7 linked regions of the Oryctolagus cuniculus genome follow. The protein of the gene in region 7 purifies or fractionates together with the protein of the main gene of each other region. This does not show direct contact. Links are inferred from orthologs where the notes say so. Each region holds a gene or a part of one and is shown on either strand. Other genes may lie near its edges.

Region 1 (3,500 bases), on a different chromosome or scaffold from region 7:
TTGGCACTTACTATGATAATTTCTGTGCCATTGCTAGGTTAATTGGGACCAAAACATGTAGACAGGTAAGCATAACTGTTCAATATTATTACAAGAGCTCCAAATATAGATATAAGTATGTACTGATCCAAAAGGCATAGTGACAGAGAGGGAGAAACAGAGAGCTCTTCAGTCCACAGGTTCACTCCCCAAATGCCGACAACACTGGGGTTGATCCAGGCTGAACGCAGGAGTTGGAACTCCATGTGGGTGACAAGGACCCAAGTTCTTGGGCTGTTATCCCATGCCTTCCCAGGCATATTAGCAGAAGCTGGATTGGAAGTGGAACAGCCGGGTCTCAAACCAGGCACTCTGATAGGGGATGTGGACATCCCAAGTGGTGGCTTAATTTGCTACGCCACAGTGTTCACCCCAGCATCACTACACTTGACCAGAAAATAATTGCAGCTACTCTCTACTTCCTGAAGGTAGGGACAATTATTTCTCCTGTATCCCTAGCATTTAGCAGTGTCAAGAAGAGAGAAGTCTTTTTGGTATGAATGAGTATAAAAATGATTTGCTTCAAAAACTATTCTCATGACTGTGACTGCCTCTTGTCAGGTGTATGAGTTTAGAGTCAAAGAATCTAGTATCATAGCTCCAGCTCCCGCTGAGGATGTCGATACCCCTCCAAGAAAGAAGAAAAGGAAACACCGGTAAGTCTGCTGTGAGGCTGTTTAGAGAAGTCAAAATAGGTGTTGCAGGCAAGGCACTTTATAAAGGCAGTGATCAGTTTCTACTTGGGCTGTTATACAACAACTTCAGACTGTCTTCAAAAACATATTTGTGAAATCGTGTTTCCACTCGCAATTGCTGTTTTTCTGTAAGAATACAACAGCCATCAGTACATGTGGAATGATCATAAAAGTTCTGGTTACCATGTGTATTGGTTATCAAAAACATAAATGATTTAGTAGTTGTTTTTTTTTTTCCAGTAAAGGCTACATAAATAGTCCCGTTTTAGCATTTTTTTTGACAGGCAGAGTGGACAGTGAGAGAGAGAGAGACAGAGAGAAAGGTCTTCCTTTTCCGTTGGTTCACCCCCCAATGGCCGCTGCGGCTGGCACACTGTGGCTAGCGCACTGTGCTGATCCAAAGCCAGGAGCCAGGTGCTTCTCCTGGTCTCCCATGGGGTGCAGGGCCAAGCACTTGGGCCATCCTCTACTGCACTCCCGGGCCACAGCAGAGAGCTGGACTGGAAGATGAGCAGCCGGGACAGAATCCGGTGCCCTGACTGGGACTAGAACCCGGGGTGCCGTTGCCGCAGGCGTAGGATTACCCTATTGAGCCGCGGCGCCGGCCCCTTTTTAGCATTTTTTTAGGAAATGTTTTGATAGGTGTTTCTACTGTGAGCTCCAGGTTAGTTTTAGGGAGTGTATCTTTTTTTTTTTTAATTAATTTTATTTGAGAGGCAGAGAAAGAGACAGATGGCTCCCATCTTGTGGTTCATTCCCCAAATGACCTACAACAGCAGGGAATTTGCCAGGCCAAAGCAAGAAGCTGGGAACTCAATCCTGGTCTCCCACATGACTGGCAGAAACCCAACTACTTGAGCCATCACTGCTGCTCTGTTGGCAGGAAACTAGAATCAGGCGCACAGATATGGTACAAAAGCATCTTAACCACTAGGCCAAATGCTTGCCTCCTTTAAAAGAGAAGCATAGTTGAGTGGCTAAGGAAACACATACATATGCCTAAAAACTACAGATAGGCTCTTTGTGTATTTCTTTAATAAAGGTCAAGTCATCCTAATTGAGAACTTAAATTGTAAGATTTTCTCACAGGAATTTAGGTTTTAGTAGATTTTTCTGAAGTTTTGGTTGAATTTCTGACCGTGTAGCTCAGCTAGATTATTAATGATGCTTGAAATAAGAGATAGTATCAGCATAATTCACATCAGAATAAATCTGTAGATACAGACACTTGCTGCTACACAAAGTATATCTGCTTATAAGTCCTGAGCAGGTGATGTGGATGAGCATAGAAAGGGATGCCACCAGCCTGGCTTCTCCGCACACCTTAGGCAGCCTGAGTGATGAGGCTGTTTCGGAGTTGCTCTGAACTGATGGCAAATAGTAGCTGGATAGTGTGTGCCTTTTCGGTTGTAACCTGGCTTTAAAGCACTGCTGTGTTAATGGCACAGATTGAGCCATCGAAGCAGCTGTCTGTTGGATTTGTAGCTGTGACCCTGTGCCCTAGCTTTATGTGAAGTTTGTATTTTTTTTCTTTGTGTGTGTGTGTGTTGTTTTTGTTTTTGTTTTTGTTTTTTTTTGCAGGTTGTGGGCAGCACACTGCAGAAAGATACAACTGAAAAAGGGTTAGCATCTTTCCTTCACCTTCATTATTAGCTTTAAATGTCTGTTCTCATTTGACTTAGAATAGTGACTGCATTAGAGTTGGGGTTGCTGTGATAGAATTCATTTTTGTACATCAAACCTGTATAAATGGAGGGTGTCTCTTGATGAATGGCCAAGCAGTGCTCTTTGTAAAGAGACAGCTGATTGGATGGAGTGAGTCACTTAATTGGTTAAAGGAGAAGCAGTTTGGAAAAGATGCACTTTGAGACTTAGTGGCAAAGCTCCTGAGCACTTTGGGGTGGGAGGTTGCTTTTGCCATCATTTTTAAACAGGACTGTGTGTAACATTGTAAATACAGTACAGCTCCAAAGGTGGTAGGGAAGAGTGTACTCTTGTTCATTGTGTGTGATCCTTTCCCCTCTTCCTGGATTAATGGGCCTGCCTGCTGTTATCTTTATTCAGATGGCTCCTCTAACCATGTTTACAACTATCAACCATGTGATCATCCACGGCAGCCTTGTGACAGTTCGTGCCCTTGTGTGATAGCACAAAATTTTTGTGAAAAGTTTTGTCAGTGTAGTTCAGAGTGTAAGTATTTGTTGCTTTGATGCAATTGCATGAGAACTAAGGAGACCTTTGGCCAGCAATTAAAAATAGTGATTTAAATCAGAACCAAAGGACACGGGAGTGGCTCCCTTGTTGTTTACTTAGGAAATCTTATCTTACAGTCATTTATTGAGTGTCATACCTGGCACTGTGCTGGTGTCCATTCATTCTCCTGGGTAACGTGTATGTGTGTGTGCAGGACAGACCAAATTGCATTAAAGGAACTTAATCTTTCTTTTGTCTCTGATCATTTATATTAAATCATAATAAAGTTGGCACAGAATGAAAGGGGAATCTAGTAGTTACCAAATAATTTTGAGGCACCAGAGATTGTTAGGAGGATTTCAGTTTTCAGTAAAGAAATACAGCATAAGGCTAATACCTTTTTATAATTGTTTAATGAAGCTGCACACAAAGCTGGGATGTTAAGGAAGTGATTAGAACTGTGAGCTTTTAGAATGGTCGTGGACCATGGATATTTTGTAGTCTCAACCCTTCTTTCATACCTATTTTATAATCATAGAACCTTATATACCATTTACCAATACAAACTGGAGA
Region 2 (4,251 bases), on a different chromosome or scaffold from region 7:
CTGATGTGCAAACCTGATCTAAGGACCTGAGTGAGGGTTGGTATGCTGCGTATGTTGGGTAGGCCCGAGTGGACAGTCCCTTACAGAGATGTCTAAGGAGAGGCACCCAGAACCTGTCTATCTTCGTCTGGTTTAGGATTTCCACAACCTCCCTCCCACCACCTACTGCCGCCAAGAGTCCCCTCTTCCGCAGGCAGGAATTTTCTGGATCGGGGCTCAGTTCAAGGCGCCATGGTTGGGAGGGGCTCGCAGGTCTGGGGTCCAGGGCCCCAGGTGGGCACATCTGGGAGCGCGAACCTGCGGCTGGATCCCCCGCCCAGCTGGGCATCGGGAGAGGCGCCCGCCCAGGTGTGCAGAAGGGTAGCCGCGAGCCTGCCTGTAGAGCCCTGCGCAGCCGCGAGGTGGCGCCGCAGCCGCAGCACCGCCCGCCGGCCCGGGCCGCTCCAGATAAGAGTGTGCGGAAAGCGCGGCGGGGCTGAGACGCGACCAGGACGCGGGGAGGACGGAGCAGCAGGACAGACCGACCGGGGGCCCGGCGGGCGGAGGGCAGCGCAGCGCAGCCACGTCCCCCCCTGGATCCGCCGACAGCCGGGCCCGGGGCTTCCGACATGCCCCCCAGGTGGGTCCTGGAGCTGGGGACCGGGAAGGACAGGGGACCCGGGACAGCCCGGTCGTCGCGCGGCTGGCCGCCTTGGGCGCATCCTCTGGCGTGGGCGCCCCAACGCGACTAGCGGCTGGCGCTCGGGGGTCTGGCTGTCGCCCCTGGAGGACTGGGGACCGCCGGGCCGCTGCTGCGCGCCGGGTTCACGCTGGGGTCAACGGCCCGGGGCCGGCTCTGCCCGCACATGGGCTGGAAAGGCGAGGGGAAGGGAAGGGAAGGGGAGCTGGCGGGCGGGGCTGCAGGGGCGCTGCCCTGGCACAGCTCGGCGCCTGGCAGCGGGGTCTGGTGGGGCGCGGGCTAGGAGCTGCCACCGCCGCGGGGAGGGCCGCTCGCCGGGCTCCGGCCGCAGGTAACCAGCTGCGAGGCCCTGCGGGCCAGGCAGGGAGCAGGGTGGGGCGGGCGAGGAAGCTCAGGGCTCGGGCCCCACGGCCGCCAGACCGCCGCCGAAATTGGGGGCCGAGAGCAAAAAACCTGGGAGCGGAGGGACCGGGGCCGGCGCGCTCGTCCCGCCCTGTCTGAAGTTGGGAAAGTTTCCCCCCAAGTTTGGGGCGGCAGAGTTCCGGGGGAGCAGGGGACCGGGGAGCTGCGGAGGGAGGCGCCGGGTCCGCAAACGTCGGGCCGAGGCCGGGCCTGGGGCCGGAACGCGGGTGGGGCGCAGGCCAGGGTCAGGGCCACAGCCGGCTGCGCGCCGTGCCCGCCCGGGGCGCTGCCCCCTCCCTCCCCTGGGAGCTGCGTGGCTCCCCCCTCCCCCCCACCTGCTTCCTGCCTCAGCCTCCTGCCCCGATATAACGCCCTCCCCGCGCCGGGGCCCGGCCTTCGCGCTCTGCCCGCCACGGCGGCCGCTGCCTCCTCTCCCCGCGCCGCGGCCGCTGCCCGGGCCCCGAGCGAGGGCCTGACAGCCCCCGGCCGGGGCGGCGCCACGGCGGGGCCCCGCGCTCCCGTGCTCCGTATCACTTCCCCAAGCTGGGGCAACTTCTCCCGAGGCGGGAGGCGCTTCTCGCTCGGCTCCCCTTCTCCCCACTTGAGCAAACTTCTGGGCCCTGAATGACTTTTCCTGAAGCGGACATTTTACTCAAATCGGGTAACTGTCTCCGAAAGGGTCACCTCGCCTGAACAGTTTTTTTCTCCTGGGAAGCACCCAGTCCGTGTGCCCAGCAGCGCCGGGGGCTCCGGGGCGCGCACAGCCCCGGCCCGGCCGCCTCTCCACCCGCTGGGCGCTCTGCTCCGCTCCTCCTCTTGCATCGGCCCAGGCGGCCTAGGCGCCCACTCCCGGAGGCCGCTGGTCCTCCGCCCGTGCCCAGGCCGCGGTGCTGCATGCCCCTGCTCAGCTGAGGGGAAGGGGAAGGGGAAGTGCCGGCGGCCGGGTCTCGCTGCGGGCCTCTTACCCGGCTGCTGTGTGTCCCCGCAGGAGAGTGTGCTGGGCAGACGATGCTGGACACGATGGAGGCGCCCGGCCACTCGAGGCAGCTGCTGCTGCAGCTCAACAGCCAGCGCACCAAGGGCTTCTTGTGCGACGTGATCATCGTGGTGCAGAACGCCCTCTTCCGCGCGCACAAGAACGTGCTGGCGGCCAGCAGCGCCTACCTCAAGTCCCTGGTGGTGCACGACAACCTGCTGAACCTGGACCATGACATGGTGAGCCCGGCCGTGTTCCGCCTGGTGCTGGACTTCATCTACACCGGCCGCCTGGCTGACGGCGCGGAGGCGGCGGCGGCGGCGGCCGTGGCCCCCGGGGCCGAGCCGAGCCTGGGCGCCGTGCTGGCCGCCGCCAGCTACCTGCAGATCCCCGATCTTGTGGCGCTGTGCAAGAAGCGCCTCAAGCGCCACGGCAAGTACTGCCACCTGCGGGGCGGCGGCAGCGGCGGCGGCGGCTACGCGCCCTACGGGCGGCCGGGCCGGGGCCTCAGGGCCGCCACGCCCGTCATCCAGGCCTGCTACTCCTCCCCGGCCGGGCCGCCGCCGCCGCCGCCACCGCCGCAGCCGCCCACCGCCGAGCCGTCGTCGGGCCCAGAGGCCGGGGTCAACACGCACTGCGCCGAGCTGTACGCCTCGGGCCCCGGCCCCGCCGCTGCGCTCTGCGCCCCGGAGCGTCGCTGCTCCCCGCTCTGCGGCCTGGACCTGTCCAAGAAAAGCCCGCCCGGCTCCGCGGCCCCCGAGAGGCCGCTGAGTGAGCGCGAGCTGCCCCCGCGCCCAGACAGCCCGCCCAGTGCCGGTCCTGCCGCCTATAAGGAGCCGCCGCTTGCCCTGCCGCCGCTGCCGCCGCTGGCCTTTCAGAAGCTGGAGGAGGCCGCGCCGCCTCCGGACCCGTTCCGCGGCGGCGTCAGCCCGGGACCCGAGCCCCCCGGCCGCCCCGACGGGTCCAGCCTTCTCTACCGCTGGATGAAGCACGAGCCAGGCCTGGGTAGCTACGGTGACGAGCTGGTCCGCGAGCGCGGCTCCCCCGGCGAGCGCTGCGAGGAGCGCGGCGGGGATGGGGCTGCCTCGCCCGCGGGGCCCCCACTCGGCCTGGTGCCGCCACCGCGCTACCCGGGCAGCCTGGACGGGCCAGGCCCCGGCGGCGACGGCGACGACTACAAGAGCAGCAGTGAGGAGACTGGCAGCAGCGAGGACCCCAGCCCGCCCGGAGGCCACCTGGAGGGCTACCCGTGTCCGCACCTGGCGTACGGCGAGCCGGAGAGCTTCGGGGACAACCTGTACGTTTGCATCCCTTGCGGCAAGGGGTTCCCCAGCTCTGAGCAGCTGAATGCGCACGTGGAGGCACACGTGGAGGAGGAGGAGGCGCTGTATGGCCGGGCCGAGGCAGCCGACGTGGCCGCCGGGGCGGCGGGCCTAGGGCCCCCTTTTGGCGGCGGCGGGGACAAGGTGGCCGGGGCTCCTGGCGGCCTGGGAGAGCTGCTGCGGCCATACCGCTGCGCATCCTGCGACAAGAGCTACAAGGACCCCGCCACGCTGCGGCAGCACGAGAAGACACACTGGCTGACACGGCCCTATCCATGCACCATCTGCGGGAAAAAGTTCACGCAGCGCGGGACCATGACGCGCCACATGCGCAGCCACCTGGGCCTCAAGCCTTTCGCGTGCGACGCATGCGGCATGCGCTTCACGCGCCAGTACCGCCTCACGGAGCACATGCGCATCCACTCGGGCGAGAAGCCCTACGAGTGCCAGGTGTGCGGCGGCAAGTTCGCACAGCAACGCAACCTCATCAGCCATATGAAGATGCACGCCGTGGGTGGCGCGGCCGGCGCAGCCGGGGCGCTGGCGGGCCTAGGGGGGCTGCCTGGTGTCCCGGGCCCGGACGGCAAGGGCAAGCTGGATTTCCCCGAGGGCGTCTTCGCCGTAGCCCGCCTCACGGCCGAGCAGCTGAGCCTGAAGCAGCAGGACAAGGCGGCCGCTGCCGAGCTGCTGGCGCAGACCACGCACTTCCTGCACGACCCCAAGGTGGCGCTCGAGAGCCTCTACCCGCTGGCCAAGTTCACCGCGGAGCTGGGCCTCAGCCCGGACAAGGCGGCGGAGGTGCTGAGCCAGGGCGCTCACCTGGCCGCCGGGCCCGACGGTCGGACCATCGACCGTTTCTCTCCTACCTAGAG
Region 3 (3,451 bases), on a different chromosome or scaffold from region 7:
GGGGTGGAGGCGTGGGGCAGGGGTGCGGCTCCCGTGGGACGGAGCCGGGGTGGAGGTGTGGGGCAGGGGTGCGGCTCCCGTGGGACGGAGCCGGGGGTGGAGGCGTGGGGCTGGGGTGCGGCTCCCGTGGGACGGCTCCCGGGGCAGGGGTGCCGCGAGGCGGGGTGGACACCGCGTCCCCGCTCCTGGAGAGGTGGCGGCCCCCCGGGGGCCAGCGGGGACCGGGCTGCCTCATCGCCTGGCTGAGGCCGGGATCCCCAGTCTCAAGGTGTTCTGAGAAGCGTGCCGGGGTGCTCCGGGAATCGCCCGGTGTCGCTGAGGGCTGAGGGAGGGAAGAGTTCCGTACCTGTTCTAAGAGGTGCATGAGCATAGTTGCTAAGGATGTGAAAGGTGAGTGTGGCCAGCAGGAGCGGGAGGCGGGAGGAGGGACCGCCATAGCCCTGTGCCTGGGACAGCGACCCCGTCTCTCAGAGGGAGGCGGGAATGGAGGGACTGGATCGCCCTGTGCCTGGGACAGCGACCCCGTCTCTCAGTCTCTCAGAGGGAGGCGGGAGTGGAGGGACTGGATCGCCCTGTGCCTGGGACAGCGACCCCGTCTCTCAGAGGGAGGCGGGAGTGGAGGGACTCAATCACCCTGTGCCTGGGACAGCGACCCCGTCTCTCAGAGGGAGGCGGGAATGGAGGGACTGGATCGCCCTGTGTCTGGGACAGCGACCGTGTCTCTCACAGAGGGAGGCGGGAATGGAGGGACTGGATCGCCCTGTGCCTGGGACAGCGACCCCGTCTCTCTCAGAGGGAGGCGGGAGTGGAGGGACTGGATCGCCCTGTGCCTGGGACAGCGACCCTGTCTCTCAGAGGGAGGCGGGAGTGGAGGGACCGCCATAGCCCTGTGCCTGGGACAGCGACCCCGTCTCTCAGAGGGAGGCGGGAGGAGGGACTGGATCGCCCTGTGCCTAGGACAGCGACCCCGTCTCTCAGAGGGAGACAGGAGTGGAGGGACTCGATCGCCCTGTGCCTGGGACAGCGACCCCGTCTCTCTCAGAGGGAGGCGGGAGTGGAGGGACTGGATCGCCCTGTGCCTGGGACAGCGACCCCGTCTCTCACAGAGGGAGGCGGGAGTGGAGGGACTGGATCGCCCTGTGCCTGGGACAGCGACCCTGTCTCTCAGAGGGAGGCGGGAGTGGAGGGACTCGATGGCCCTGTGCCTGGCTGGCGCGTCTGGGGCGCCTTCCTTTCTCAGATTCTGCACTGTCCGGAAGCCCGCGACTCCTGGAGCCTGGAGTCAGCCTGGCAGGCGTGTTCACGCCACAGCGAGTGTAAACACTTGTCGGGGCTCTCCTGCCCTCCCGGGGACCGCCGCCGAACTTCGCTAGCAGGCCGCAGGACGGAGGGAGTGGGGCCAGGAGTCGGCAAGTGTTTTCTGGAAGAGCCAGACGGTCAACACGTGCGGCTGTGCGTGCCAAGTGGGCTCCGTGACACACCGCGCTCTGCCCGTGAGGCCTGCGAGGGAAGCCGGCAGACACGGGGGACAGATGGGCGTGGCTCTGCGCCAACAGCGCCATTCACCGCATGCTGACACCCCGCCTTCCTGCGACTTCACGTCGTGAGTCTCCATCGCTTTCAGGGGCTATCAAACGCGAAGAAAACATTCTTAGCTCCTGTTGTCCATCTCTGAGTTATCCTAAAGAGTGTCTAGTCTGTGGAAGAATTGTGGAACCTCAGGGTTGGAAGGGGCCCTAGGATCTAGACAGAGGTTCTTCCTACACACAGTAGGCTTACCTGAACCCTTCTGATGCTGGGCACGCTGCACACTTAGGAAGCAGCGCTTTCTCTTATAGGGCCAGATCCTGTCTCACTGCGTTAGCCCGCTGATCTGTTTTCCACTAATGGGTACTGTATGCTTATTTATACAGCATGATCTTGCATGAAATCAGTGCGGACAGAATAAACACTGTGATGAGTTAAAGGGATACCAAGTCATTTAAAGACAGGAAAAAAAAAATAAAGGCACAGAACTTAAATACACCAGGTGGAAGCAGGTGGACAGCTAATGTGGCAAGATCAGAGAAGTGAAAAACAGAAAGACCATTAATTCAAAGAACATTAGCACTTTTTGACCTAGCACTTTTTCAGTACATCATAGCACAGGCACTTTTAGAAAGGCCAATATGTGTGTGTTCGCTGACATACCTGTGTGTTCATATTTGTGTCTCAATAATGAGCTACTCTTCTGGAATATCTTATCACACAGATCACAAGCATACATTCCATTTTCTGTCTTTCGCATTTTCTTTTTGGGTGGCGTAGAATCAGAGTCATTCTGATCCTCGACGTTTGACACCCCTTCTGAGCTAGTGTCTTGCCTTTCATCCTAAAGGAAGACGAGAATAAGAAAATACAGCTTAACATAGAAACAAGGGATGCAAATAAAAGCATAGATTAAAGATTAACTGATTTATAATTTCAACAACTTGACCAAAGCAAGCACAGTGCTTGTCACCGTGGCTCAGTTCCTACAGCAAGGGAAGACGACAAGAGGGGGTTGCTGTGGATAAAAATGAGGTGGGCCTGATACAGACAAAACTACAGCAAAAACATAATACCTGGCACCGGAAGGAAAGGGTATAAAAAGAATGTACAGTGTGTACTAACAAAATTTACTTGGTTCCACGTGAAGCTTTTTGTGTGAAAAATTTGCAGAAAGTTTGAAAAGTGTATGAATTAATCGGTAACATATGACTGCATTATTCGCCTTTGTTTTTCATTCTGGCTTTCACTAGGCAAGAATTTAGACTTTTAAAAAGTGGTCCTTAGATTCTTGGAGCTAACATTTGTCTCATCGGAAGGAAGGAGCTCTGCTCTACCACTGTTTTACGGGGCAGACTGGAAAAAAAAATGCAAGCAGGTCCACATTTTTAAGCAGGAATACTTGGTAGTCAAAATGAATCTTTAGAATTCTAGTAGAATGAAAACAAAATGCAGGCAATCTCAGGAAGGCAGTTCTGGCAGGAGGCTCTGCTGATGGAATCATCCTGCAGGGACATGAGGAATAGGTCCTCTAAGAGCTTGGGTCTTTTCTCTAGCCTCCCGTTTTACTGCCTCTAAACTGCTAACCTTTCTGCAAGTCCAATGCTTTCCACATTTCTGACAGCTTTGCTAAGGTAGGAGAGGCGCAGTCATTTGCTGGGGTCATTTCTGAGCTGCCAACGGGTGCTAAAAAAACCTGACTGCTTTCATTGCTATTTCATCTAGTCCTAAGACTGCACAAATGTTTTTGTACTCAAATGCCTAGAAAGTGCTCTATACACGAAAAATCTAGAGGAATTCATGGGTTGTACAAGAGTTATCACAATGACAGGAAACTAAGTCAGTAGCGATATTTAAGGGAGAACAAAAGCAGCAAACACACATCTGAACAGGATATTGAAATTGTTATAGCTGAACCTACTTA
Region 4 (3,642 bases), on a different chromosome or scaffold from region 7:
TGAGTGAAGCCTCAAGTCAGGCGGCAGCACGGCTCCCTGTGGGGTGTGGGCTGCTGCAGCTCAGGGTCTCCCGCAGGCGAGCAGGGCGCCGGCAGCCTGCTGCCCCTCCTCCTGCTGGACCGCGGCGCCTCCGCCCCCGAGCTGGGGCTCTGGAACGGCGTGGGCGCCGTGGCCTGCTCCATCGCTGGCTCTGCCCTGGCCGGGGCCCTGCTAGCCAGACACTGGTGAGCGCCCTGGACAGCCCCCCCACCCCCGCCACCTGCTCCCCACCCCCCAGTGGCTCCATGTCCCCACCCCCGCCCCGTCCCAGGCGGCCGCTGCCCCTGCTGAGGTCACTGCTGCGGCTCCGCCTCGGGGGCCTGGCCTGCCAGACCGTCCTGCTCTTCCACTTGGACTCCCCAGATGCCAGCGTGGGCCCTGCCTCCGTCCTGAGAGGTAAGGGGCTGGCCTCGGGGAGGGAGGGCTGGGAGCCTGGGCCCTGTGACCAGTCCCCCCCCCCCAGGTGCAGCCTTGCTGAGTCTGTGCCTGCAGCACTTCCTGGGGGGCCTGGTCACCACCGTCACCTTCACCGTGATGATGCGCTGCAGTCAGCGGGCGCCCAGGGCCCTGCAGGTGAGGGCGTGAGGTGGGGGCGCCCGGGGCCGCTGGCTGGGCAGCTGTGCAGGCTCTGACCCCGCCCCCACCACAGGCCACGCACTACAGCCTCCTGGCCACGCTGGAGCTGCTCGGGAAGCTGCTGCTGGGGGCCCTGTCTGGAGCCCTGGCCGACGGCCTGGGCCTGCGGCTCTGCTTCTCTCTGCTGCTCGCACTGTCGGCCCTGCCCCTGCTGGACCTTGGCCTGGCCCCCAGCACGCTGGCCTGAGCCAATAAAGCAGGGCGTGCCGTGGCCCGAGTGCTGTGTCTGGACGTGTTGGGTGCCTTTTATTCTGCACTTTGCAGCCTGCCTGTCCACCCGCCCCCGTGCTTGTCCATGCTGTGTGCTGTGCCCCCCCCCCCCCCCGGCAGTCAGCGGCACGGCGGCAGGAGCTCCTCTGTGGCCAGGCGCACCAGCCCGTGGAAGTCCAGGTGCAGATACTTCCTCCAGAAGCGCTGGTCCTGCCCGTACACCTGGGCGGGGTAGCAGGGGCTTCCTGCAAGGGAGGAGCGTGCGGAGCTGAGCTGGGGGCCGCCTCCGCCCCAGCCCCCGGCCCTAGGCTGGCCCTGCGCCCTCACCGATGCCGTGGAAGATGCGGGCCAGGGTCCTGCCCGAGAACCTCTCCTCGGGCCGCAGGGACAGGAGCAGGCGGATGTCGCGGCGGATCTGCTCCTCCCAGTCCTGCAGCTGCGGGCGGGCGGGCACGTCAGTCTCCCCAGGCCCCCTGGCACCGTGGCTCACACAGCCAAGGCCCTGGGTGGCCTGGGGAACCTGGAGCCAGGCTCACCCAATCTGGACTCACTCTGGCCTGCCCCAGCTCCGGTGCCTGCTGGTCCTCAAGTCCCAGCTCCTCGGCCTCTCCCCCTTCTTCCTCAAAGTAGCGGCCGAGCAGGGCCTTGAGCCGGGCGCTGCGCTCCTCGTCCACCTGCTCCAGGCAGGGCCCGCAGCTGGGGAAGGCCACGCTGCAGAGACAAGCCTGTCAGAACCGGGCTGCACAGCTGGCCCGTCCCCAGCTCTGGCCACTCTCTCCCACCTGCGAAAGGCCTGGAAGGTCTGGCACAGGCGAGCCAGGGCCTTGCGCTCACGGGCCTGCACACAGCCATACAGGAAGTCGCAGATCTGGTCCAAGTCCTCCGCCCTCAGGTCGCCGGGGCTCCGCAGGTGGAAGGCCGGCTCCTTGAACTCCACCAGCACACCTGTGCCCCTGGGTGCACCTGCCAAAAGCGCAGCGTCCCAAGCTGGCAGGCAGCAGGGCCTGGGCTGGGCTGGGCTGGGGGGGCTGGGCTCACCTCTCCTGGACTCTGGGTCCCACTGCAGCTGGCGGAGAGCCCGCTGCACAGAGGCCAGCTCCCAGCCGCTCGCGTCCACCAGCTCCAGCATGTCCAACTCCACAGAACTGCGGCTGTGCCTGGGGTCCTCAGGTGACCACTGGGCGAAGTGTGCAGCCAGAGGGGGACACCTGTGCCCGGGGTGGGGGGTGGGAGCACACATCAGACCAGCAGCCCCTTCCTCTGTCCCCGTCCCCAGCCTGGGGGGGGGGTGCTCACCTATGGGCAAGGGCCTGGAGCTGAGCGGGGCCCCCAGGGCAGCGCAGATGGCAGCGGGTGTGGGCGGCGGGCAGCAGCTCCAGCCAGTGCCGAGGGTGCAGCTCCAGGTAACACAGCAGAGTCTCTATGGCTAGGGCCAGAGCAGGGCTCAGGGCACACAGGATGGGGCCCTCCTCACACCCCAGGCCCTCCTCCGGGTCCCTCACCCTCCTCCGGCATGTCCAGTGCCTGCACTGTCTGCTGTGCTGGGAGCAGCCGCTCGTGACCAGAGCAGGCTCTCCTGCCGGACGCGGGGGCTGCCTGCTGGCCGTGGTGCCGCTGGGCCTCCTGGGAGGGGGGGCCTGCCGCGGGCCTCTCGCCGCCCACACCTCCCTCCTGGGCTGGGAGCAGCTGGGAGCAGGTGCAGGGCGCAAACGCCCACTGCACCAGCTTCTTCACGGCCAGGAAGTCCGTGCCGTCAGCGTGCACGTGTCTGCGCAGCTCCCGGAGGTCTTCACCCTGCAGGGGACAGTCGTGAGGAGCGGCCAGGGTGGCGGACACCCCCGCGGCCAGGAGGGGGACCAACCTGGGGCTGCAGGAAGAGGTGGCAGTGGGCAGGCTGCCCGTCACGCCCAGCCCGGCCCACGGCCTGCACGTAGCTCTCGACGCTCGGGGGCAGCCCCAGGTGCAGCACGGCCCGCACATCCGGCCGGTCCAGCCCCATCCCGAAGGCCACCGTGGCCACCACCACGCGCAGCTGGCCCTGCATGAACGCCCGCTGCACGCGCCGCCGCTCCTGGCTCAGCATGCCGGCGTGGTAGGCTTGGGCCACGGCCTCTGGAGAAGGCAGACAGGCAGCCGCTGGCACGAAGGCATGGGTGCCCAGGCGGAGTCCTCAGGGGCCCCAGCCCTGCCTGCCTCACCTGCGGGCCCCAGGCCCGGAGCCCCACGCAGGCAGGTTCGCAGGAGCGCGGCGATCCGCTCCGTGTCCTCGCGCCGGATGCAGTACACGATGATGGAATCCAGCGCCCGGAAGCGCTCGCCCTGCAGTAGCGTCACCACAGCCTGCCGAGGGGCAGTGTCAGAGCGGCCGCCTGCAGGGGCCCCGGGGCCCCTGGGCTGTGCACACCCACCTGCTCGGGGTCCCTGTCCATGGACACGGAGAGATGCAGATTCGGGGGGATGGCAACCGGCCCGCCGAGGCCCAGCTCCTCAGCCACGCCCAGGTGCTGGGCCACGTCACGGGCAGTGCTCCGTGTGGCGGTGGCTGTGAGGCCCAGGAAACAGCGCACGCCCATGCGTTCCCGAAGCACCTGTGCCAGAGGTGGGTCACTGAGCCCAGGTGGGCCCTGGTCCGCTCACCCACCCAGACCCGTCCGCGGCTCACCTTGCAGACGCGCAGGTAGCAGGGCCGGAAGTTGTGGGACCACTGGGACAGGCAGTGAGCCTCGTCGATGCACGCGAAGGCCACAGGAGGCAGCT
Region 5 (3,500 bases), on a different chromosome or scaffold from region 7:
AGCCCGTGAGTAAATGTCCCTCACAGAAACTTGTGATTTCAGCTTAATTCTTCTGTTTTCATAAATGCTTAGAGCCTGAGCACTAAGGATTCTGAGCACTATGATGAGAATGATCCGACATCTCTTTCTTCTGATTGAAACCTTTGTATATGAAAGAATCCAGAAATCCACATCCTACAGAAAGAAGCACCCGGACATCATGACTGTACCAGAAAAAAGAGAGGAAGAATCCATAACAGCAAAGACTGAGAACAGCAGTGCTACACCTGAGCATCTTTCTGAGAAGATCCTTTGGCTGCATGTCTTTAACCCTAAAGGATGGCCTAAGCCTCCCACCAGCTTCCTCTCCCTTGTCTTCTGTTTTCATGCATCCACCCATCAAGTAGAGGGACTGTGTCCTAGGCCAGCGGGACGGACGGATACAAGGAGTGAGGTGTCTCCATGGTATGCGCTTTCACTAGCAGGCAAGTTTCTGAGCTCCGCAAACCATGGGGAGGGGTCCCTATGAGTTGCTGTGGGGACCGCCCTGTGTGGTTTAACAGATGACTCTTTGAGAGGGCCTCCAGATGGAGTAAAGTTCAAGGCAAACAGAAGACAGGCTTCCCCCCAGGCACCCCCACCCCCACCCCGCCCATCACCTCCACCAAAGCACTGGGCACTGACCTGCTTTGCCCACTTCCCCTTGCCTCAGCGGTCCTTCAGCCCGGCACCCAGCTCTGAGATGAGGCCTGCTTAGCACCAGTGAAGCTCCCCACGTTCAAACCAACAACGTTCTGTGTGGAGATGAGGGAGTCAAAGTTAAAATCCAACCCGTCCGCGTCCATGAGTTCACTACGGATAATGGACTCCATGTCACATTCCAAGCTCCCATTGAACATGTCCAGGTCCAAGTCGCTGGGGAACTTCTCGTGGCCCATGACGGGAAGGTTTGCACTAGCTGAGTACAAGGAGGAGCCTGAGAGCGAGTCCGAGAGGGTTTGCATAGACTGGCTGACGGGAGACGGCTGCTGGTGTTTGGCTGACCCGAGGCTGCTGGAGTCACTCAAGCCCATGCTGCTGACGGAATTCGACAAGGCACGGCTGCCACCGAGAGCGCCCTGGGTCTGGTGCTGGTGGTGGAGCAAGTTCTGATTGACCAAACTCCCCTGGTTAGGCTGGGCAGCAAAGGACATCATCGGGTCATTGCGCAGCATCACGTGCCGGCGGGAGTTCTGGGCAGACACAGCGGTGCTGGCCTGAGACATCAAGGGGTCCGACTGGGTCATCATGACGTCGCTGTGGCTGAGCGAGTCTGAAGTGAGCAGGTCTTGGAGTGTCTGGCTGCCGTAGTGCGACATGGAAGAGAAAGTGGCTGGCTTGTTCTCCTGGATGGTCTGCATGGGGGACTGGCGCAGGGAGTTCAGAGACGACGGCCCGAACACCGTGCTGTTAAAGGAGCCGGTCGGAGAGCCCAGGCCGGAGCCCTTGGCGGCGTAGGGGAAGCTGGAGCTCCGCTGCATGAGCGTCCCGGGGGGTGACGGCTGGGAGGACGGCAGGGGGATGTTGTCCAGCAGGTCGTCCATGAGGTTGTCAGCCAGCCCGTCGTTCAGGTTCATGGTGCCCGCCATGTCGGTGAGCCGCGGCAGCTCCACGGCGCACGGCTTGCTCGCAGAAGGCGACAGGCTGGCGGAGCTGCTGTACAGCATCGGGGAGAGCGGAGCATCGTCGTCCTGGACCTCATTAAGCTCTGTGCTCGCCAGGATGGGCGACAGGCGGCCGCTAACCGTGCTGGCGTTGGAGTTGGTGCGCGAGCGGAAGTCCGTCCAGGCGTCCAGCTCGTCGCTGCTGCGCGACGTGGGGCTGCCGGGCCACTTGGCCAGTTGGGAGGGGCTGTCGTCGGCCGCCTCGGGTGCCGTCTGCAGGGCCGCCTTCTTCTTGGCGGCGCGGCCACGGCTCTTGGTGTACTTGTTGCTGTTGTCCATGGAAACGGCCCGCCGCCGGGGCGCCTTCCCGCTCTTGCCCCCATCGGGGTTGATGATCCACCATGAGCTCTTGCCCGTCCCCTCGTTCTGCACCCGCATGAACCGACTGTGCAGCGACAGGTTGTGTCGGATGGAGTTCTGCAGAGGAGAAGGAAAACGCAGAATGTGAGCCAGGTCGGTCCAGAACTGAGGGCTCAGAACCCCCAGCCCAGCAGACTCCTTATTTGCAAAAGCCGCTTCTCACACCAGGGGCTTAAAAAGCTTAACTGAGAAGACCAACAGCCGCACCACTCTCCAAAACAACATCAAACGGAAGGCTTCCCATCCTGGAGAAGGACAGACGGTTGCGGAGCAAAGCTGCTGCTCCCCCCAGTTCCTAGCTTTCACTCTATTTCCTATTCTGGGGTTCCCACTTGTAATTTATGAGCACACCACTTCCTCCCTGCACTTTGCAACCACCCTCTGGCTCCTTAAGGTAACCCATCCCCTGGGTGGCTCTTAGCTTCTCTTCTGCTCCCCTCCTCCAGGCACCCAGGGGCAGCAGCCACCTCTTCCTAACCACTTCCATGAGTTGAGAACTGGTGCGAAATTTTTACCCACCCTCTCTACCACTCCATCTCAGCATGCCACAACTTCACGCCTTGTTACGTGACACCCAGCAGAACTTGTTGGGCCAACAAAAGGTAGGCAAGTCTCCCGCTGCACTCCCGCTGCAAAGCACCATGGGCTGAGCTCAGCAGCTCCTCCCAGAGTACCATATGAACGGGGGTGGGGGAAGGGGACTGACAGCGGAGAGGCCTGCGCACACAGCCTCAGCACCCTGTTGACAGCACACGTGCGCCTTTGATGGGACGTGGTGAAAATGGTATTGACCTCTGTGGTCTTGCTTCCAAAACCCACAGGCCCCGTCTACTCATGAGCAAGACCTCAACTGAGGAGCATTCACAAAATGTATGTTCAGTGCTCCTCAAAACGGTCACGGCCAAGAGCTGCCTGAGGAGACAGGAGGGGCGGCTCCAGATGCAGTGGTGTGGACTGTGGGACACTTGAGGCTCTGGGACAGGAAAGGGACCTGTAGTAACAGTTGAGACAAGTGTGCCATCCTGTAAGAGGTTAACAACAGGGGACCGTGCGATGTTGGGTATGTGGGAACTCCACAGCAGCTTGGCCACTCTACTTTTGCAGACGTAAAACTATTCTAAAATGAAAGGTTTATGATTTTAAAAACACAGGAGGGTAAAACACCCTCACAACTCTAATGGCTGCACCCATCTTGCAAGCATCCTCCTCCCGACATGGTGGACTCACCCAGTGGAGACGGATGACCCAGATTCAGTCCCGTCTCTGCCGCTGACCAACCATGTGACCCTGAACAAATCGCTTATCTGTCTGCCGCAGCTGCGGTGCCCGTCTTCATTATGGTCACAATCATCTCCCAACCACCCCTCCCTGACAGGGATGACGTAAGGGCGATGGATGATAATACACTTCTGAAGCCAGTCACGCTAGGAAGCCACAATGTTCCTACCGCCCTTATAA
Region 6 (3,936 bases), on a different chromosome or scaffold from region 7:
CAACAGCCCCAACTTTATCATCAGCTTCTTCAGAAATCACTCTTCAGAGAGTTTTCATAGGTATGGGTCACAAAAAAAACATGATCATATCACTTTGCCTAACAACTTCCATGGGTACCCCTCCCTATATAAATTCACCATCAAACTGACAATAAAGTCCCAGCCTACCTACTCAGGTTCATCACCTGTAACTCCCCCAATGTACACGCAATCTACATTGCTGCCAACAATGAATTTCTCAGCATTTGTCAAACTTAAATCCCAGCTACTTTGCAAATACTTGCATTTAATAGTGCTCAGCTCTCCACCAAGCATGTCTTCCAACCCCTAATCTACCACTCTTAATTCGTCTTCTGTGGATCTCTGAACCTCTCAGGTATAATCGAACTGCTCCCTTATTTGTGCTTCCTTACCCATACTTTATATGGTTTTAGAAACATCTCTGCTGTAAAAATTTGTTAAGACAATTATGCATGGGCTTTTGCCAATATAACTCTGGACTGTGAAAAACAAATCCTTTTTTTCAAGATTTCTAGGACTTAAGAGGTTGAAAAGTTGGGCAAGTAGGGCATAAAGAAAAAGGTTGATAGGATTTCACCAGTTCAAACTTGCATTTTTATGTGAGTCGATTATCTTGAAGTAGATTTCTAATATCAGACAAATAGAGAGAGGAAGCCCTACCCTTACCTGAAAGTACATATGCGATCTACTTTACCCTTTCTTCCTTCTTCAGAATAATAAATACAAATATCTTCCTCCAGATTCTTAGCAACTAGTGTAAACTGTAACCTGTGGAAAAATGGTAAGACATCAGCATCATTTCTGGATGATGATACCAGGCAGTAGACCTCAAAGTCAGGTAATTCTGCTCCTGTCTCAGCTCTACACTTGGTGAGTTAAGCCTCAGTTTCTACATGGGTAATGCAGATATGGAAGCACAACTCAAGTTCACTTGTGGTAAACACTGAAGAGACAATATCTTAAAATGAGTGGCAAATAGTTATTCATTTTTATTTAATATTCACAACATAGATTTTTCTTATTGTCTTAACATCCATGTCATCAATCATTAATCCAAGGCTATCCCAAAGAACTGTTCCAAAAGTTGTCATTTACAGTACTTACAATCAATGACAATTTACAACTAAATCCTCAGCTCTCATTATTCTTTTAAGTCTCCTATACTTAATCATCTCCAATAAAACAGAAGAGGCTCTAAGTACGTTTTCATTCAATGTATGCGTAACAATTTATTTTTAAAAAGTCAAGAGAAAAACTAAGCTGCTTTAAGGATAGAAGGAGGGAAATTTTAATAAATAAAAAATGTGATTTATTGCAGTTGCATAGCAGGAATAACTTTTAATTCTCTATAGCATTAACACAGGGTAACTATGGTTGACAACAATTAATTGTATAGTTCAACATAGTAGAGAGGATTTTGACCATTCCCAGTACAAGGAGATGATAAATGTTTGAGGTGATAAGTATACCAATGGCCCTGATGTGACCATTACATATTGTATACTTGTAATGAAATAGTACTCTGTACCCCATAAATATGTGTCAATCACGTGCTAATTAGAGATTTAAAAAATATTTTAAAATACCACTTTAAAAACCATCAAAATAAGTAATAATTAAAATTGTTTCTTACTATATATGATCAATTTATTACTAAAACGGTTTCAACTTACAGAGAAAAAAGAGCTACATGGTAAGATGATACATATAGTCCAATTACAAATACATTAATCACTTTTTCTCATATTCATGTATTGCAGAGCTTTTAAAATAAACACAATGGGATCCGCACTTATAAACCCATACAGCTTACTTCTCATCCAAGAACAGATAAAGAGCCTCTGACTAAATAAGCTATAACATATGCACCCTTTTCCTCTCAAGTTTAAACTAATGACCAGTTTAGTTTTCCTTTTACTTAATTTTTTTTTTTTTTTAGAAAATCATCTTCCAAGGTGAAAGACCAAAATCCGATACTCGATATGTCAGCTGGTGTTAAACACTGCCCTAAACCTTCTACTTGCACTTATTTAATCTTGGCAGCGATCCTGAGAGGTAGGCACTACTATTTTCTAGGTAGAGAAACCTAGAAACAGAGAGGGGAAGTGACGCCCCCTAAGTCACAGTAAATGCTAAGGCCAGGACTAGAGCCCGGCTGCTTCCAGAGGCTGCGCTTTTAACCCCTATGCCACACAGACATCTGGGGCTAGGAAGGGAAGGAGAGGGCTTGCCCGGCTTGCCCTTGCAAAAATCTCAATTTCCTGCACAGAGGAAGCCAAGGAAGAATCCTAGCGTGAAATCACTAAATTCTGGCGATAAGGCGCCCGCGGCTGCAGCTGCCAGGCCCCAGCCGCAGAGGTCTGCCTGGCTCACCAAAATCCCTTCCAGCTCCCCGCCTTCGCCCACAAACGCTCTTCCGGAAAGGAGATCCGACCGCGAGAGCCGGGAAGATGCCCAGCAATCTCGGGACTCCAGGCTCTCCCACCCGCCACAGCCCCGCTGAACCAGAGCCAGGAAGCCAGGGCTGGGCGCTCCGGAATCCGCGGTCACCGGGGAGGGGATGGAGCCCGCTGGCAAAGGAGGCCACAGCTCCGGAGATACCCGCCCGCTTCCCCCTCCCCAGACCTCACCTCAGGTCCTCTCCACGCTCCGAAAACGCCCTGGCAATTCCACCTCTTCACACGCAGACCCCTCACACCGATACCGCCATTCCTCGCCGCCGGCCGCCACAGCCAATTCAAAAAGCGAGCCGCTCTCTCTAAGAGCCATGCCGATTGGCGCGTGATGTCAACCTCCTTCCCATAGGCCGGAGCCTGCAGGGGGACGGCGATTGGTCGCTGCTCTCCGCCCACCTCCCTGCGAGCGCCGATTGATTGGTTGTACGTATGTTTCAAATAAACCCAACGGCTCTGACGCCCAGACGTCAGGAGTTTGTAGAGAAATGCCCGGATGTCGCCAGGAGGTGGCGGTGGTGGCGTCCGAAGGCTCTCCGGGAGTAGCAGGTGTTTCTGTGGCTACTGCTTGTTTACTCGGTAAACATCCGATTTCCTGAGGAAAGTTTGAGTAGGTTCTCCGTACCCCAGTCCCCAACTTGGTTTTGAAAAAACTCCATCAGATCCTTTAAATCAGTGCCGCCCAGATGAACTTTTCCTTCTGGTCCCTAGGAGCTGCCGGTATGCTTTCTGCTTGAGGAATGGATTAAGCGATTTTGACTTGGCAGTTGTGTTGGCGTGTGGCAAGGCCCAGGACAGAACCTGGCAAACTTAAATCAGCAAGCAGCCTCCTACTTAAACCTTGCTGTATGCGAAACTGAACTCTGGTCTAGGCAAGATTGGGGGGAATTTAAAAAAAAAAAAAAAAAAACTTCTTACTGTTCCTGGAGCTTTTAAGAAAAGCAAGCTTGCATTTGAGAAGATTTAAAATGTGCAACGAGATTCTAGAAGCTCCTGAAACCATCGTGCCTTGCTTCCTCGCTGCACCCCACCCCCGCTGTGGGAACGTTTGTACTGTATAAAGTCTAGCCAAAATTCAGGTTTCTCCAGTGATTAGTATTGCTAAGATGAAAGCAGTTTATTTTGTTCATTTTCTGAGTATGATGCCATATCACACAATCTAGAGAAAAACAGGCCTCCTCCGAGAGATTCTCATCTGATTGCTGATTTAAGTGAAAGAAGAAAGGGGAATTCGTTGCCAGAATCCGAAATCCAATCAGAGGAGAAAAACTTGTACTTTGGAATGGAACACTTAAGAATAGCTCAGACAGGTTGTGAAAATCTACCGGGTTTTCCTCCCTCTGATTTTCTCAGGCAACATTAGAATGCCTTAGTTTGCAGCGCAACCCATAAAATGAATGAGGCAATGTGATTATTGCTGGTTTTCTTGCTTATTAATATTTAATCTGCCCTACCTTATAAT
Region 7 (4,051 bases):
ATTCTGTTTAATTTGAAGTGCAAACATTTTTGAAACTAGTAAATGATATCTCAAAAATGAGTTTCCAGCCTTCTTGGTTCTTTTTGAAGCTAAAGCAACAGAGCTTGAGTTGCTTGCCTAAGGTCATGCAGGTATCGGTGCAATATATCCAGGACCCATAGTCAGTTTAAGGAATGGTGTGCTATGAACGCTGAGAAGTTCTTTAAGTGACTAGAAATGCTGCAGGCAGATGCCACGCAAAGCATAGGTCCTTAGTTATGGCTGTAAAGTAACAATTTTCCAGGGCAAGTGGAAAGTGGTGGAGTTTCCAGTGGGGAAGCAACTCTGGTTTTTGAACTACTATGTACCTTTTAAATATAGCTAGCTTATTTAATTTTCATAACCCTGCAAAATAGGTATTATGAGAAAAAATTGGATTTAGAAAAGGCTAACTTGCTCGGTATACAAGAATCCCAAATTTAAAGCAAACCCAGAGATGGGGAGTGGCCGAGCCTTGTTCTCGACTGCCCGACTTGACCCAATGCAATCACTACACCTGAGAACACCGGGGCCCACAGGTAGGAACGCACACACATTTGAGTACAAGTTACGGACCGAAAGCTGATAGGCTGACTCCCAAGTTCCCAGGTCAAAGGACCTAGGACGGGGACACACGCCTGTGAGGATCTGACAATCTCGCCCCACAAGTGAGGGCGACAGGGCACAAGAGCCAATCACTGAAGGGGAGGGCCAAGCAAAGGAGCTGAAGAAGGGCTGTCAGAATGGCGCGGGGGCGGCAGAGCGCCTTGTTCTTTCCTCCCCACTGACAAAAGCCCAACGGCTACCCAGCGTTATTTCAAGGAGCGAAGCTTCAGTCCTCATCGCCTCTCAGGAGCCCAACTTTAACCCTTAGCTAAAAATGCAGACAGGGCTAGGCAGGGAAGGTGTGCGCTGGAGGCAGAAGTGGAAACTCCGTGAACCAAAACGTGTGCCTTCCGGACGGTCCTGAGTTCAGGACGCTTCCAAACAGAAGTTCAAAAGCGGCCGCCGAGCGAGCGTGCAAGACACGCCCGCCACTGAGGGGAGGGGCCTCAGGCCGCCCGAGCCGCGTTTCCTCCCCGCCCGAGCAGAGAGGGAGACGCCCGGGCCTCCGCCCGCCACGTGACCGGCCGTGTTGTGGTTCGGCCCGCGTGGGTGGCGGGAGCGGCGGGAGGGCGGGGGCGGGGGCGGAGGCAGGTCACGTGACGGGGTTTAAATCTCCCGCAGCCGGAGCCGCGGGGGCGCCAGTGCCGCGCGTCGAGCGGGAGCAGAGGAGGCGAGGAAGGAGGGCCAGAGAGGCAGTTGGAAGATGGCGGACGAGGCGGCGCTCGCCCTTCAGCCTGGCGGCTCCCCGTCGGCTGCGGCGGCCGAGAGGGAGGCCGCTTCGCCGCCTGCTGGAGAGCCGCTCCGCAAGAGGCCGCGGAGAGACGGCCCTGGCCTCGGGTGGAGCCCGGGCGAGTCCGGCGGGCCGGCCCCCGAGCGTGAGGTGCCGGCGGCGGCGGCGGCGGCGGCCGGGAGCTGCCCGGCTGTGGCGGCGGCGCTGTGGCGGGAGGCGGAGGCGGCGACGGCGACGGGCGGGGAGCGAGAGGCCCAGGCTATGGTAGCGGCCGGAGGAGACAATGGGCCTGGCCTGCAGGGCCTACCCCGGGAGCCGCCGCCGGCCGACGATTTCTGCGAAGACGAAGACGACGACGACGAGGGCGAAGAGGAGGAAGAGGCGGCGGCGGGGATTGGGTACAGAGGTGCGCAGGGCGCGGGCGGCCGGGACTGCGCATCCCCCTCCTCCTCCTCTCGGGGCCCCTCCTAGTGTCCGGTTGGGGGGGGGGTCTCTAGGGCGGGCCGGGGGTTCCGGGCTGGCTCGCGGGATCCTCTCCCCATGGCGGCCCTCCGTTCAGCCGCGCTGCTCCCGGGCTGCCGGCCGTGCGGTGGGGAGCTGCGCGCGGACTTGCTCCTTGTCTTCCCTCGGTCCGCGGCCCCTCTCGGCGGCCTTGCGGCGTTCGACGCAGCCGCCGGGTGTGGACGCTGTCTCCCTTGGCTTTACAAATAAGTTTTCTCTCTTCTAGTATTGCTTTCGTTGAACTTACTTTGCTCTCCTCCTCCTTCACCAGCACACTTAAAGTCTGCAACTTTCGGCCGTCCCGTTGGTCGACCTTTCGCAGTTGCCCGTGCAAACTGACACCTGTGCCATTTATTTATTTATTTGACGATCTGTACTTTTAAACTTGTAGTTATAAATTTGGAAAGAGCAAAGCGGCTTTCTGAGGTCTTAACCTGAAAACTTTAAAAGCATAGTTTCTAAAGCAGTCTTTTGTGATGCGTTTAGTGGGGATCGCATAATGAAGTACTTTCAGAGTGCTTTATATTAATATTGTGGTTGAGTCGTGTTCTGAAGTGGTTTTAAGCTAAATGGGATTCTTCTGTATATATGTGATCCTGAAGCAGGTTGACATGTTTTTGACATACTGAAGTACATGTCTTGTCCTTGAGGGTTTCATAGTTTGACTTGAGAAGTTTCTGTGTCTGTCAGTACTGTGTCGGAACTAGCCAGTGGAGCATTTAGTAGCCACATGGAAAAAAAAAAATGTGTAGTGTATACATCAGGGACTGCACAGGTGAAGCAGCTCCTGATTTCAAGAAACAAAATTCCTTCCTCCTTCAGGTAAATTTGGCAAATATTAAATTTCTTTGTGATTCAGTCTGCTGAACTAAGGAACCATCATAGTATTTAGAAGCACAATAAATGGGAGAAACAGATAATGCAGAAATAGCTAAGTATGTTTAGTAGTATATAAAAGCCCAGAGTGCAGGCAGCCTTGGTTTTCACAACGTTGGTGGGTAAATTTTGACAACTTGCATGTACTCCTTTGCTTGTATGATTGCTAAGCTCAGTCTATAGAGACTACCTCTTATTCTGTTTTGACTTTTTAAAAAGTAGACTCAGATTTTTGATAGACTGAAGCTTTGAATTCTGCAAAGGATCTCTTGAGGATCAGAGAACTGCTCTTGTGAATGTTGACCACCTTTACACATGCGGGATGTATGTTAAATGCTTTAGTCATTAAAAATGGTTGCTTTGTGACCACTGATGAGTCTTCTTGCATTTCAGATGCAGGCTGTCAGCAGCCTTAATGTTGATTTCTTTTGCAGATAATCTCTTGTTCGGTGATGAAATTATCACTAATGGCTTTCACTCATGTGAAAGCGATGACGACGACAGAGCCTCACATGCAAGCTCTAGTGACTGGACTCCAAGGCCACGGATAGGTATGGTTCAGAGCTGTGCCCCTCCCCCCATTTTCCCTCTGTCCCTTTAATAGATTGAAGTTTTTAGGTACATGGAGAGATTTAATAACAACTTATATTTCTAAGAAAAATCTAGTGCTCTTAAGTACAAAAATTGTACGTATTTATGGGGTACCATTTGATGTTTTGACACATTATAGATTGTGTAACATCTAAATTAGAGTAAACATCCCTGTCTCATACATCATCTTGTTATTGTGAAATCATTCAAAATCTTTTTTGCTATTTTTTTTAAAGAAAAATAAAGGGGTAAGCATAGAGGTTAATATGCTAGTTGGGTCTCCTGGATCCTATATCTGAGTGCCTACTTTGAAGTCCTGCTTTGCTACTGATTCCAGCTTCTTGGTAATGGACAGTGTTGGAGTTGGTGGATAGTGGTTCCAGTGGCTGGGTTCCTACTACCCCTGTAAAAGACTTGGATTGAGTTCTTGACTCCTGGCTTCTGCGTGGCCCAGCCCAGCTATTGTGGCTGTTTGGGGACTGAAACGGCAGAGGGGAGCTGTCACTCACATCCGCTTTCTTGCTCTCTTGTGCTCTCACTCCACCTTTTTAAATAAAGAACATAATTTTTTAAAAATTAAATAAAACACACAATGCATTTTCTTTTTTTTTTTTTTTTTAAGACTTATTTACTTACTTGAAAGTCGGAGTTACACAGAGACGGAGAGAGGTCTTCCATCCGCTGGTTTACTCCCCAGATAGCTGCAACAACTGGAGCTGTGCCGATCCG

What was found.
Region 1: the proteins of SIRT1 (region 7) and EZH2 purify together in Homo sapiens (affinity purification with western blotting; 3 studies listed by BioGRID and IntAct, with this or other methods). This does not show direct contact. The link is inferred for Oryctolagus cuniculus from reciprocal best matches to the Homo sapiens genes SIRT1 and EZH2.
Region 2: the proteins of SIRT1 (region 7) and HIC1 purify together in Homo sapiens (affinity purification with western blotting; 4 studies listed by BioGRID and IntAct, with this or other methods). This does not show direct contact. The link is inferred for Oryctolagus cuniculus from reciprocal best matches to the Homo sapiens genes SIRT1 and HIC1.
Region 3: the proteins of SIRT1 (region 7) and ZEB1 purify together in Homo sapiens (affinity purification with western blotting; 4 studies listed by BioGRID, with this or other methods). This does not show direct contact. The link is inferred for Oryctolagus cuniculus from reciprocal best matches to the Homo sapiens genes SIRT1 and ZEB1.
Region 4: the proteins of SIRT1 (region 7) and RECQL4 purify together in Homo sapiens (affinity purification with mass spectrometry; 3 studies listed by BioGRID). This does not show direct contact. The link is inferred for Oryctolagus cuniculus from reciprocal best matches to the Homo sapiens genes SIRT1 and RECQL4.
Region 5: the proteins of SIRT1 (region 7) and FOXO3 purify together in Homo sapiens (affinity purification with western blotting; 4 studies listed by BioGRID and IntAct, with this or other methods). This does not show direct contact. The link is inferred for Oryctolagus cuniculus from reciprocal best matches to the Homo sapiens genes SIRT1 and FOXO3.
Region 6: the proteins of SIRT1 (region 7) and ECT2 purify together in Homo sapiens (affinity purification with mass spectrometry; 3 studies listed by BioGRID). This does not show direct contact. The link is inferred for Oryctolagus cuniculus from reciprocal best matches to the Homo sapiens genes SIRT1 and ECT2.

Annotation. Positions count from the first base shown.
Region 1 is NC_091434.1:174,760,348-174,763,847, forward strand, and holds part of EZH2 (histone-lysine N-methyltransferase EZH2), read left to right. Parts: coding exon 1-65; intron 66-600; coding exon 601-695; intron 696-2,315; coding exon 2,316-2,356; intron 2,357-2,798; coding exon 2,799-2,924; intron 2,925-3,500. UniProt on the Homo sapiens protein: Polycomb group (PcG) protein. Catalytic subunit of the PRC2/EED-EZH2 complex, which methylates 'Lys-9' (H3K9me) and 'Lys-27' (H3K27me) of histone H3, leading to transcriptional repression of the affected target gene.
Region 2 is NC_091448.1:47,537,658-47,541,908, forward strand, and holds the start of HIC1 (hypermethylated in cancer 1 protein), read left to right. Parts: upstream 1-1,451; 5' UTR 1,452-1,705; coding exon 1,706-1,742; intron 1,743-2,069; coding exon 2,070-4,249; 3' UTR 4,250-4,251. UniProt on the Homo sapiens protein: Transcriptional repressor. Recognizes and binds to the consensus sequence '5-[CG]NG[CG]GGGCA[CA]CC-3'. May act as a tumor suppressor. Involved in development of head, face, limbs and ventral body wall.
Region 3 is NC_091444.1:102,062,863-102,066,313, reverse strand, and holds part of ZEB1 (zinc finger E-box-binding homeobox 1), read right to left. Parts: intron 2,372-3,451; coding exon 2,191-2,371; intron 1-2,190. UniProt on the Homo sapiens protein: Acts as a transcriptional repressor. Inhibits interleukin-2 (IL-2) gene expression. Enhances or represses the promoter activity of the ATP1A1 gene depending on the quantity of cDNA and on the cell type.
Region 4 is NC_091437.1:168,206,635-168,210,276, forward strand, and holds the end of RECQL4 (ATP-dependent DNA helicase Q4), read right to left. Parts: coding exon 3,548-3,642; intron 3,474-3,547; coding exon 3,294-3,473; intron 3,226-3,293; coding exon 3,084-3,225; intron 2,998-3,083; coding exon 2,747-2,997; intron 2,680-2,746; coding exon 2,388-2,679; intron 2,312-2,387; coding exon 2,182-2,311; intron 2,094-2,181; coding exon 1,924-2,093; intron 1,849-1,923; coding exon 1,668-1,848; intron 1,597-1,667; coding exon 1,437-1,596; intron 1,322-1,436; coding exon 1,213-1,321; intron 1,131-1,212; coding exon 1,006-1,130; 3' UTR 863-1,005; coding exon of another isoform or gene 689-862; 3' UTR 613-688; coding exon of another isoform or gene 503-612; 3' UTR 501-502; downstream 1-500. Other genes in the region: MFSD3 (major facilitator superfamily domain-containing protein 3), read left to right, coding at 77-224, 311-435, 503-612, 689-862. UniProt on the Homo sapiens protein: An ATP-dependent DNA helicase which unwinds dsDNA with a 3'-overhang in a 3'-5' direction. Does not unwind more than 18 bp of dsDNA. May modulate chromosome segregation. The N-terminal domain (residues 1-54) binds DNA Y-shaped DNA better than ss- or dsDNA.
Region 5 is NC_091436.1:62,749,352-62,752,851, forward strand, and holds part of FOXO3 (forkhead box protein O3), read right to left. Parts: intron 2,100-3,500; coding exon 699-2,099; 3' UTR 664-698; intron 1-663. UniProt on the Homo sapiens protein: Transcriptional activator that recognizes and binds to the DNA sequence 5'-[AG]TAAA[TC]A-3' and regulates different processes, such as apoptosis and autophagy.
Region 6 is NC_091435.1:107,482,258-107,486,193, forward strand, and holds the start of ECT2 (protein ECT2), read right to left. Parts: upstream 2,801-3,936; 5' UTR 2,652-2,800; intron 790-2,651; 5' UTR 688-789; intron 1-687. UniProt on the Homo sapiens protein: Guanine nucleotide exchange factor (GEF) that catalyzes the exchange of GDP for GTP. Promotes guanine nucleotide exchange on the Rho family members of small GTPases, like RHOA, RHOC, RAC1 and CDC42.
Region 7 is NC_091446.1:59,832,961-59,837,011, forward strand, and holds the start of SIRT1 (NAD-dependent protein deacetylase sirtuin-1), read left to right. Parts: upstream 1-1,251; 5' UTR 1,252-1,327; coding exon 1,328-1,760; intron 1,761-2,675; exon of another isoform or gene 2,676-2,743; intron 2,744-3,165; coding exon 3,166-3,282; intron 3,283-4,051. UniProt on the Homo sapiens protein: NAD-dependent protein deacetylase that links transcriptional regulation directly to intracellular energetics and participates in the coordination of several separated cellular functions such as cell cycle, response to DNA damage, metabolism, apoptosis and autophagy.